Medicago truncatula: one gene and its partner. The protein of the gene in region 1 interacts with the protein of each later gene in a pairwise test. Links are inferred from orthologs where the notes say so. Each region holds a gene or a part of one and is shown on either strand. Other genes may lie near its edges.

What was found.
Region 2: the proteins of uncharacterized protein (region 1) and uncharacterized protein interact in a two-hybrid assay, tested with the Arabidopsis thaliana proteins (2 studies listed by BioGRID, with this or other methods). The link is inferred for Medicago truncatula from reciprocal best matches to the Arabidopsis thaliana genes AT3G29270 and AT3G13175.

Annotation. Positions count from the first base shown.
Region 1 is NC_053047.1:4,249,557-4,256,824, reverse strand, and holds the start of uncharacterized protein, read right to left. Parts: upstream 3,036-7,268; 5' UTR 2,841-3,035; intron 1,219-2,840; 5' UTR 1,218-1,218; coding exon 417-1,217; 3' UTR 1-416.
Region 2 is NC_053046.1:43,006,131-43,011,857, reverse strand, and holds uncharacterized protein, read left to right. Parts: upstream 1-4,373; 5' UTR 4,374-4,518; coding exon 4,519-4,809; 3' UTR 4,810-5,212; downstream 5,213-5,727. Other genes in the region: cysteine synthase 2, read right to left, coding at 68-142, 232-441.

The sequences.
Region 1 (7,268 bases):
ATAACTCTTTTTTCTAAAGATACAAACATATAACTATAAGCTGTATTAAAAGAAATACCCATACCATACAAAACATGACATTGATAAATGTAGTCCCCAAGTATCGGGATCGATTCTCCCCCAAGTAAAACTGGAATTAAACCAGACAAATAATTGCCTCCAGAAAAACGGCATGGGCATAATCATGGCGCTAGTCCACAGTCTTGGTTTACATCAACACTATTAATGGCACTGATTCTGTACCTACCAGTACCAACCAACCAAGCTTTACCATAGCTGAAATCAAGTCCGAGTCGATTATACTACTGTATTAAATTGAGCAGTGCTGTATGCCAGAAGAGAACTAACACAGCTTGTAATGGACTAAAGGGGAAGCCGGCAAATCATGGAACAAAAGCTTAAACTAGCTTATGATGTCAGGCAATTATTTCCCTGACAAGCCAGTCTAAACTTGGATATGAGAAGTACAAGATGAGAAATGACGGGAGAGCAAAGAGAATTGTAACAAGTATATACAGAGCCAAAATGGCTGCACTGGCTGGTACTGCATACAAGATAATCAAAAGAAATATAATGATCAACGGGAACTTAGCTGTCAACTGGACAAAGAAAATCAATGACTTTCGAAGAGATATATGCACCCTTTCCATATCGAGGTGATTGCGGGTATTAGCCCGAGGCTGACTGGAGTTCGATGTATCTGGAGGGTGGACTTGCCCCCCCTGAAGATTTCCATGGTTTACTTGCCCTCCTAAGGTTAAATTACCTTTGCTTGCACACTGTTGTTGATTATCCCCACAGCAAGTTGAATGTGATTTTACTCGGTCACCATTCATGCCCTCAACCATCCAAAGAAGAAAGTAGTTCTTACGAGGGAATCTAAGATTTCCTCGATATACTAAACGAAATGATAGAAGGTTGCACCAAGGGCAGGAGATGAAAAGTGGAAGTTGAACCGGCAGCGTTGGAAATTTCACGGTAGCCCATTGTAGTCCCAAGATACAGTTTTTACAGAGTGTATGACCACACCACAAAACATAAGGCACATTTTCAACAATATTGAAAGATTCCCAGCATACTGGGCACTCAAGCCCTTCCTCTCTTCCTACGACAGAGGTCTCATCATCAGAACATTCTGAAGCAGAATGAGTTGGGTTTGACGAATCCTTTTTCAGCCCTACATTTCCAGCAATACAATTTGATGCGAAGTTCCACATTCTGAATCACAATAAGTTTATAATCAGTCAGAAGGTATCATTCAGTCCTCAATGTGATCAATTAATGACTGACTCAACACATAATGTATGAAAGAAGCAAATAGTACAGAACTACATAATAGTAACAAGGAACATCAACAACCAAAGCCTTTCCCAGCTAGTTGAGATCATCTACATGGATTAAACAACACCGAAACTTTCTGTCATGGATGACATATATAAATATTATAAATAAGCAGTTTATTTAAAGCTCTCTATTGATGGTTTTACTTTGACGTATAGTTTTCCTTGGTCTTCCTCTAACTATTTAAGTGTCCTTCATCTGGTCTACCCCCCTAGTCGATGTCTTTAACATGTTTAAGCCACCTAAGAGGTTACTTTACAATTTTCCCACGATGGGCGTTACCCCAACTTTCCCTCTCATGACTTCACTCCTAATTCTATTTTGTCTAGTGTGACAAAGAAAAACCTAAAACTAAAAGAAAATGCCACCATAACATCTTCACACTATCCATATTAGAGTGCCTACCATGCATGCTTTATCCTGCTTTTATTATAAATAAGACTATCAAGAATTTAGTAAGCTTTGCTGTAAAAAGTTCCTTCTAGTCCATAAAAGAATTGGCAAGCCACTATTTTAAAAAAATGCTAGAAATCAAAAACTATTAATAAAGTAGGGTATTTGGATTCCATTCAGTAACTGGGTGACGTGGTTATTGGTCCTAGGTGTCCCGACACAAATCAATAGTCAAAATTATTTAAACATGATTTGGTGACCGTGTAATGTGAGCCAGCTCATCTCAAATAGATGATCAGGATCAATTTAAGCGTGTAAGTGTAACTGTGTGTTTTTTAATGCAATGGATCCAAATCCTAATCACCAAGCTTGCACAAAATATTTTGTCAAGTTTATGAGCCAAGTAAGATTAACTTCTCAAGAAATGCTTACAGATATCACACGAACTTGGCAATCTCAATTTCTGCATAAAAATTTAAACTACCTTCTGCATCTCAATTTCAGTATGAACCAACTCATCTGGATAACATAACGTAACTAGACAGCTAAATTAACATCACAAGTCAATGTCATCACTTAGCAAATCAAACAAAAATGTCAGCTATCTACTTTTCTACCAGCTGAACAACTAGAATTTGAAAGATCCTGATCTAGACTAAAAAACTACTGCAACCATTTCGATATAACTAATCATAATGATCATCACATATCAAAATGTAAAAATCATATCATATAATTGAAAACAAGCTAAAAACACTTATTTGATAAACACATTTAATAACAGATTTCAGATTTTTCCTTCTTCAAAGATCACATCAAAGTTCAGTACTTTATTACCATACCCCCAATTCAAATAGTTCATCTTCAAAATCAACTTATCAAAATCAAGCTAAAGTTAAAACACCCATTAAAGAAATCATTCAGATCATAAGAAATAACACTTAAAAAACAATTTTTAGTGTAAAAAATGAACTGGGTCATTGAAAAACACCACAAAATTATAATCCCAAATTATATAATTTGAAGAAAAAAAAACTAGAAACCCTAATTAAAAGCAAAACAGATCAAAAGGGGGATTGGAATTTAGAATTAGAAGAGGAAGGTACCGATTGTGCGGAAAATTGGAGAAATTGTGGACTGACAGTGGCACGAGCAGAGAATCGTTGATTGATTTGGTTGGTACCACTCGATTCGATCGCAAAACAGAAACCCTATATCAAAACGATGTCGTTTTCATCACTCATCTAGCCCACTCTATCTTACACACCTATATGATGTCACTGTCGGTATCACCCGTCTTTCTTTACAGGGTTATTTATTTATTGAGTGGATCATCAACTTCATCCTTGAATTTATAACGACTAATCAAATTTGTCCTCTAATTTACATGTTGTGTTGCGTTGTGTTGCGTATCATTTTTAACTTTTGACTTTCAATTTTTTCATATTTTTCCTCTTTCACTCATTCCTATCATCCTCGCATTTCATTCAGAAACGTCAATGACTCTTCTCCTTCCCGCTAAAACCTTCACAATCTTCATTTCTCCAAAATCATCATCATCTTCATCGATCAACGTTGGAAAAGATATTGTTTGAAACGAAACGTAACGCCTATCTTGTTCGTTTTTCATTCACTCATGTTCATTTTCCCCCATTTTTGTGACTGTTTTCTTTATTTTCGTTTTCATTTTTTATCCATTCGTTTTCATGTTTAAACTTCATTTGATGCTTTCTTTGATGTTTTTTGTGACGGTTGTGTTTTTTAGAACATTTTTTATTATTCATTTTAGGGTTTTCAATTTAAGACTAAATTTTTTGATGATTTACTGGTTGGTTACTAAAATTGGTGAACATTAAGTAATTAAGGAAATTATTGGTTGATTAAAACAATTTCTACACATGGTATCTTTCCTATGCTGTAGAATTCTGATTTGCGTTCTGAAGTTGTTTTGTTTGTGATTATGACAAAGGTTGCCAAAATCTGTAGGATGGAAGAAAATATCACGCTAATTATGCATCACGGTGGGGGGTTTAGAGCGAGATGAGTATCGGAGGCAGCAATATGTTCTAGGTGAATTTTGTGTGTTGGGAAAAAATGGATGCAGGTGAGTTATGTTTGTGGGACATTGAGAAGATGGTGAAACATTGCAGAGTTACTTCAAGGTATCTAAAATTGTGATACTTGAAGTTGTATGAAGGTGTTGCTTCTAATCGCAATATCTGCTTGAATTCATTGACAATTGATAAACATGTTTTGGATATGGTGCAAGTTGCAATGGCTAATGGGATGAAGTGGAAATATATGCACAACATGTGGTGGATAATGATGAGGTTGAACTTGTACCATTATATTCTGAAGAGATGCAGGAGCTTGAGAGAGCTATGCAAGAGTCTCTGAGAAATGTAAGTATGGGGACAACTGAAGCTGATACAAGAGTTATGGAGGTTGATATATTAACTGATGAGTAAAGAAATGTGATAGACTGTTTGGTTGCAAGTGTGCAAAATAGAGTATATAATCAAGAGGAAAATGTTGAAGCTACTCAAGGAATGGATGAAACAGTTGTTAATGTAATGTTTGGTTAACCCTTGGATCATATCGGATAACTTACAACTATTTCATTCATCTAGTGAATTCTCAAATATATTGGGAACCAACTCCTTATGACAAACATGTGCCACCAAAGGTGAGACGTGTTGCAGGAAGACCAAAGAAGAACAAGAGAAAGGATGGCAATGAGGAGCATGTTTGTAGGAGTAACATGAAGAAGATTTACAATGACACTCAATGTGGCGGGTATGGATTGTTTGGTCATAACTCAAAAGGCTTTGTGAAGAAATGTGTGTTTAGGAGACCAAAAGACTGAATCAATACCGAGCCTGAAGAACCAAAAGAAGAAAATGCTGAAAATGATGAAAAGTTATTGCTAATGATGTTTTAGAAAATGTTGTTGCTCAAGAGGTGCAAGGAAATTATGCTTAGTTCAAAATGTTGTTGCAAATGAGGTAATTTCTGAACAGGTATGACTCTTGTTGTATAAGGATCAATTTCCTAGTAAGTGTAATAATTTAAGAATGATTTGATTGAAAATTTTATTGTGGAAAGTAAGTAGAAAGAGGTGTATATTGGTAACCGTTGAATTAATAAATTAGCCTCTTCCATATAAAAGAAAAAGAAAAAAAATATTTTCAATGATAATTTTTGTACGTAAATGATTCTTTAACAAAAAATTATAAATATCCATGGATGGGGGATCCTCTAAAAAAAATTCATGAATGTGAGATAGAAATATATATATTGGATCAAAATTGGTTTGTACAATTTCTCTAAAGTTTTGATGACAACAAAACATTAAATAACAATTGGATATTCTAATACATGTTCAAGTGTGCATGACCATATATTAAAATTTAACAAGTTTTGAACATGTATAAGAGCATAAAAAATACACAAGAAGCTGAAAGACTATGGTAGAAGATCTGAAGAAAGGTCAATCAAAAGTCAACACCTTGGATCAGAAGAATAGTTGTTACTCTAAAGCTGAAAATCCTCATCAGACTCTGAAGAACATCAGACTCGAAAAATCTTCAAACTCAGAAGTACATAAGATCTTGAGGGACCCAGACTCCACGTCAGATTTGTCCTCTTATGTAGTTGTCTCTATCAAAGTCTGATAGTAGAGTTTATCTTCTTCTAACCACATGTAGAAACAAACAAATAACTTCAAGGGCAAATAAAATGACCAGATAATTCCAGTTTTTGCAAAAGAATTTCAAATGTTTAATCAACGAAACTATCCATATCAGACAAAGGGTCAACGTTCTTGATTTGAAGCTTCTCAATAAGTCTTACTGCGCTGACATTCTACTCCAACGTCTCTCAAATCCTTGCCTATATAAAGAGTTGAAGACTTGAAGAACAGCAACAAGACTATGATATTAAGTGTAAGAACGAATCTTGTTTATTTGTAAACCTTTAGAAGTCTCTTGCATGTGTGCTTGAGCATAGGAAGTCTCTTTCAGTTGTGAATGAACATTGAAAGTATCTTGCTTGTATGCTTGTACATTTGGAAGTCTCTTGGAGGTGTCCTTGAGCAATTGTAATCCAGTGAGGTTATAGTGAAATCCCTTGGAAGTGCAATGAGACTAGATTACTCCTAGTTTGTAGGAGGAACCAATATAAATCTCTCTCCCCCCCTCTCTCTATCTCTATCTCTCTCCCTCTCTCCCTCTTTTTGTGTTTGATTTATCCGTTGCAAACAAACTTTAAGTTAGACTTTGATCAGTTTTGAAACACTTAGAAAAGTTTTTGAAAAAACCAATAGAATTCAATCTCCTTTCTTATGTTTTTCTCACCTTTAATATATTATTCTTACTCAATGAAGCGAGTAGCAAATGATTGTTATTTGTGCATGTGGATATCATTTGTTAAAATGGTGATCAAGTAAGTATACTCACTCAAAAACAAGTAGTAGTATATTGATACATAAATATCATCCCACTAGGGTTGTAGAAATTTTCATAAAACATGTGATCTAACATTTTTATTAACTAGTAATATATTCATGCTAAGAATGAGTTGTGCGTCGAAGCGCGTTTGTTTGTAAGTCACATTATTATGATATAATTAATTTTAATTTTTTTTTTTTTTTTATGAAACTTCAACCTTATTTTTGGAGGTAAGTTAAAATTATATCTTAATGATATAATTAGATGAAATGTCTCATTAAACCACATTTAATTTCTTCAAAACACAACAAAAAAAAAAAAGTTAGATCTTGAAGTTTTTAATTTCGTGCTAAAAAATGAAATTGAGAGACATATACATACTTTTCTAAGATGGTTTCAAACACACAACAACAGTTTAAAAATGAAACCAAACATGACAATATTGTCTTCAAGTTGTTACTTGAACTCTTCATTGGGTGGCGTTTAGTATGGGTAAGTGAAGTTTTTTCCCACCATGGGAGAGTTGATTATGTGCATTGGATCAAATGAAGAACACGGTACTATCATGGACTCTTAACATTAGATATTTTCACACTCTTCTCAATCCTCCATCCCCACTCTCCCCAACCGGAAACTGCTGATCAAACCAACCGTCCCAAAGCTTCCGACGGACCTCCGAAGCATTTCCACCATCTTATTGGACCTTCAGACACCTCCACTCACCGTCGTCCAGCTAAACCACTCTACCATGTGGCTTGCGTTTTCCAGATCCGCTTCTCGCACAGTTACCCTTTTATTTCGTTTGATCTATGTTTTTTTTTTACTCCAGGATCCATTTCCATGATTATTCTCATTTCTTCAGATCTATTTTCAATTTTCGTTTTTATGTTTTCTTAATTTATTTGATGATCCCTGTCTTTGAATTGGTGATTTCAATGTCATGTGTTTTAGTGCTTATGCGGATGAACTGTGAATGATGATGATGGCGGTGTCACCGATGTGAAAGAAACTAGTTTAATTGGTTCGGTGGAAGAGGAATGTTGAATTATATAAATTGTAGACAAATAACATTTCCATTGCTTTGTT
Region 2 (5,727 bases), on another chromosome or scaffold:
AACACAGAATTTCAAAACTATAATGTAATCAGTATCAATAATTGAAAGAGGGGTTTAGTAAAGTTACCTCTTCAATAATTTGAACTGCAACACGATCTTTAACACTCCCTCCAGGATTCAAAAACTCACACTTGCCAAGAATCTAAACAATAAATAACAGAGTTATAAACAATACTACAAAAATTAGTGTAACAGAACGAAAAAATGAAAATTGAATAAGGGATTAATTACTTCGCAACCAGTGGCATCAGAGAGACTATTGATTCTAATCAAAGGAGTGTTACCAATGGCGTCAATGATTCCATTCTTTGATTTCTTCTTCTTCTTCTTCTTAGATGGATTGCAGAGACGGTCGCAGAAGAAATATGCAACGACGAGGGAGACGAAGATGGCAGTTCCGACACCAACAGCGCCGGCGTTTCTCGCTGCCACAGGCGCCATTTTTTCGAGCTTTCATGCTTTGGGCTTGTTAGTTGTTACTAATAAACAAATAGAAAGTTTCTATTTGCACCCTTATTTTTTCTTCTTTTATACTTCTTCTCCTACGAATTTTCAAAGTACTACCATTTTTTGTACGAGTTTAATTTTGAAATTAGTTTTTTTTATTAACAAGATATAATTTTGAAATTAGTGTCTTGAAGATCATCCTGCATTGGAAGTGTATAATAGATGGAGATGATCCTAATCTCTATTTTCTCGTTCTAAATATTTGTTATTCAAAAACAAAAAAAAAACAGAGGAAAGATGTGTTTCAAAAGTTACTTCTTAGATATTTATTAAAATTTCGTTTATCATTTTGATTTGTCTATGTATTTATGAACGTTTTGGTGTTTAGGTAAATTAATAAAAATAGCTTATCATATTTTTATAAGCTGCTTATATTGTATTTTAATAAGTTCAATTTTTTAGCTTAACACAAGGCTTATTATGGAGCTTATGGAATTAACGTGACCTCCTTCGTTCCAATTCTTTCCAAAGCTATATTTTAATATTATATTGGAGAGAAAGATAGGTATAAGCTTATCTTTATTGAGTAACAACATCATTAAAAATAATAATAACAAACATAAATTATCCTTCCTTCAAAAAAAAAAAATAACTTGTCCTCTTTTTTTTTAACAAACATGTACGCTAATGGTACATCCATTCAAGTTCTACCATCATAATTTCTTAAGATTTTTTATATCTTAGATTAATTTTGTAAAAAAATTCTCGATAATTGTTGTTTGATTCTTTATTTTTATTTTTTTGTTAAATTAAACATATTTAAAATTTTTATAATTGCTTATGTAATAGCTCATCCAAACACTTCAATTTAAGTAAATACTTTTTACTGTACATATCCAAACATAAAGAGCTTATCAAGTATAAGAACTTATGTTGTAAGCTCTAATGTTATAAGCATCTATATAAGCTGTTTATCCAAACGGGGCCATAGACGCACATCCGATCACGTTAGAGGCAGTGGCGAAGTCAGAAAAAAAACTCAGGCGGGCCACTAAAATTAATTATAATATATAAACACAAATTAAAATTGTAATAAACATTAAGTATGAAGTTGAAATGACGGAGTTTGACTAAAATGTTAGGGTAGATATTTATAAAATTACGTATTTAACAAATACTATAAATTATTAAACTTTTTTTGTACATTACAACCGTTAACTGAGAGAATTTTCAGTTGACATGACTATATGTCAAGTATAAGCATCACAAAAATCACGTATGCCACTTTTGATACCATGAAATACTATAACCATTGAAAAATTGTTTAAAGACTCGTAAAATATACCTACAATTGAATTATTTAAATTTTTCGGGTGGGCCACTACACCACTTTGCAGAAATTTGGATCAACCAAAATCTAAAACTGACACTAAATTGTATAAAATATCGCAAAGTAGACATATGATCGTTAATTTTTTAATATTTTTTAGGCGAGTCACCCACCTAGCCCATGAAACGCTCCGCCACTAGTTAGAGGAAACACATTGAGCATGATTGTCTCGATTAGACATGAGTATACAAGGAAGACTAGACATGACAGATTCAAAGTGTCTTACGAGCTCGAGCCTCGTCATGTCCCCGAGGTTGAGCCTGAGGCAACAGAGTCACTACATGAGCCCCAACATGAGGAGGCTGGACAAGAGGAAGCGTCAGCACATCCACATAAGTGATATCATGGTGCCCCAGATGATATGCTAGTCCTGATCCTGTATTCACACAAGGTGGCCAATTAAAGAAAATATTATTTTGACTTGTAACTAGTGACTAGGGGTGTTCACGTTCTTAGATGACATGTTCAACCTAGTAACTCAAATCAATCGGTAATTGACTTAAACTTGTTCAAGTTTGGGTCAAACTCAAGCTAACCCCCCTTAAACCTGAAGTGTTTTGATTTGGATAACAAACTGATGATTCAAAACTCGAAAACCTACTGATCCATCTGGTTAAAAGAATTATTTGTTGATTTAGAAGTATTTCAATTAAATTCAAGAAATTCTAAATTAAAGAATTCAGTGTATCTGTTTGAATTTTCATGAAAAAAAAATATTTAATTATATAATATATTTATTTATTTTTATAAAAAGTTATGTCTTCTAACTCCATACGACTCAAACCAACTTTTTATCATTTGGTGGAATTGTTAACTTTGTAACATTTTGATCCTAGCATTCCTATTACTTTGATCATATGATTTTTTTATTTTTATTTTTAAGAAATCATGTGATTTTAATATATAAAAAAAAAAGAGAAATGTTAACTTCTGCTTTAAAGCATAAATTTAGAAGTCAAAAATAGAAATAATGTATTGGAATGTGTACATTAAATTTAATTTTTAATGTTTAAAGAATTAAATGCACAAAATTTAAGGGAATAATTCTATTTTTTAGATTTCTTAACATGTGCCCTAAGGGCGCAAGTTAACACTACCCAAAGAAAAAATAGTAGTAATTTTTTGGTTTTTATAAAAAAATAAAATAAAAAAATTGATTGGTTCGAGTAATGTGTTTGGTCAAAACCAATTCTAACCGTGTACATCCCTATCATTGATCAAACTTAGGTTTTCTCGATTACTCGTTGAAATTCAACAACTTTACAACAATGATATTTAGATATTTTTTTCCCACCGCATTTTATCTCTACCTTTTTTTTCTATCACATTATCAATCTATTATATTTGTCATATAATTTTTTTCTCTCTCTCTCATCTATCTTAGGTTAAAACACCGGACTCCAATGATATTTTGTGTAGACATTTTCCTTAAATTTACATTTTTTTTTTAATGTTGAGTCTAGAAAAAAAGGCCTTGATAATCTGATTATTTAAAGTTCGACTTAGAAGTAAGTAAAATTGGTCAAGAAGTGATCCACCCATAAAACCAAATTCAGATTTTTTTTGAATAATTCATCGTTTGGTGGAGTTCATTAAACACAACCTAATTATTTTGTTTGATCAACATCATTATTATTTAAACACCAATTTGTATTATTTTATAGAAACTCTGCACTAGTATAAACTATAAAGGTACGAAGCACGAACTTTGACACGAATATCTGACACGGACAATTAGACACCGCTAATGTAAAAAAATAGGACACCGACACCGCTACATATATATTAATTTATTTATAAAAGATCCAAATTGAGAATAAAAAAAACATACATGTTCATCTAATTTGAGCAAATTATTTAATTAAAAAAAATTCTAAAACAAAATAAGATGACATTTGACCTTTATTTATCCATCTTCTATCGAAAAAGCTAAAAACACCGTAAGTGACTTTGATGTCTATAACCCCTCATTGATCTAAGATTTCTCAACACATATTCTCTTGTATCTATGGTTTGTGGAAGAAAGAGGGAGAAAACATGATTCAGAAAAATGTCTGAGTTGTTCGACACTTCTCATATGACTATGGGTGTTATATAGGTGTTGGACACCGGTCAAAGGAGTGTCCGAGTAAAGGAAAAATAATTGTATTTAAAACACTTGTCTGACACGTGTCACACGAGTATCATAAAAGTGTTGGACACTGATACGTGTTAGACACCGTGACATGCCTAGTCCTAGAGGTGTCCGTGCTTCAAAGCTACTCCCTTCGGTCCTATTTACAAGAGAAAGTTGACTTTTTAGATACATTGAATAATGTACGTATTTAGTCAAGAACCTGAACCAAATACATAAATTATTTAATGTATTTAAAAAGTAAATTGTTTATTGTAAATAGGATCGGAAGGAGTATAAAGTATTCTAGACACGTGAATCGAAAGCAAAATGCTATTTTAATTCCGAACCATTTGAGATAATAATAAAATAAATAAAAAAATACTTAAAACGGTGGAAATGGAAAGTTGAAAGTGGAAATCTAAAGAAAAGAACAGTTAGTGAGTGAGTGAGAATCTAATCTAGTAAATCTAAACACAGAAAAACAAACACACACCACAAGACACAAGTGACACAACAACCTCAACTCAAACTCAACCAGTGTTATACCTCACACTCACTTTCACTAATGAAGATCCCAGAAAAGCTTCTAAAACTAAGATACCATATCATAGCAGCACTACTTTTATGCATAACACTCTTTTCTCTCATAGCTATGGCTCCTAAATTGGTGACCCTTTTCACCTATTTTTGGCCACTCTTTCTCTCCACAGCACTTGTTCTTGCCCTTGTCTTTGTCTTTGCAAAAACTTCTCCTTTACCTCAAACTGATGCTTCAATTCATAAGGGTCTTCTTGATTACGTTGCTGGTGACCATGAATCGCAGCTGGATCTTCACAACAACTACAAGGCCGATTAGTGTCCCAAGATATACATCAGAAGGATTATAGCTATCAGCCGTCCGATCCAGATCGATGGTTGAGAGTGAAACAACTGATTGTGTAATGTGTATCTTTATGTACTCTAATTCAACTCTATAATTACTATAAGTAAAAGTTTGCATTTTAGATTTATTTATTAAATGATGTATGTGATCTATTACATTATTAATTGAATGAATCTAAAATGTAAATTTTTGCCTATAATAATGATCAGAGGCTATATTTCTTTAGTTAGTTTAATCTTTTTTTTCTTCAATATAATTATCATTATCTTAGTAGTTTTTATTTATCTTGTTACTTTTTTAAGATTGACTTGTGAATTTGTATTAACTAGTGTTGAGGGATTGAAATTATTAATTACATCTTTCTTTATTTTTTTTCATAATAAAATTTAATTTTGGGTAGAGACTAGAGATGATAGCTTTTGATTTGAGGATTTTTTTTTTCTCAAAAGAATATAAATAGAGACGGCCATTTTATCATCTATTTATGTAGAATTAGCTTTATTTTTGGGTTAAAAAAAGTCTAACGAATTAGCTCAAACACTAAACTAAGAGCATGTTGATTCTTCATTCACTCACACTCACGATGTGAAATAATAAATTTTGGATTTTAGGCCCCCAACACAAAGTTTGTGACTTATTTTTTTTATGATATGTCATTTTCATCAATGTAAAACTAGATTGGATGATGTAATATTGCTAATTTTGACTAAGATCACTGCTATTTATCGCAAACCCTTTACAAAATTTAGCGAATGTCGACGTGTTCATTGGTTAGTCCAAAGAGTAATGCTTATCATCACGAGGAAGAAAAATTCACGAGACATTTGCTATGCATCTTCTCGTAACGATAAACATTACTTTTTGGACTAAAAATCCTATTGCAACTTTTTA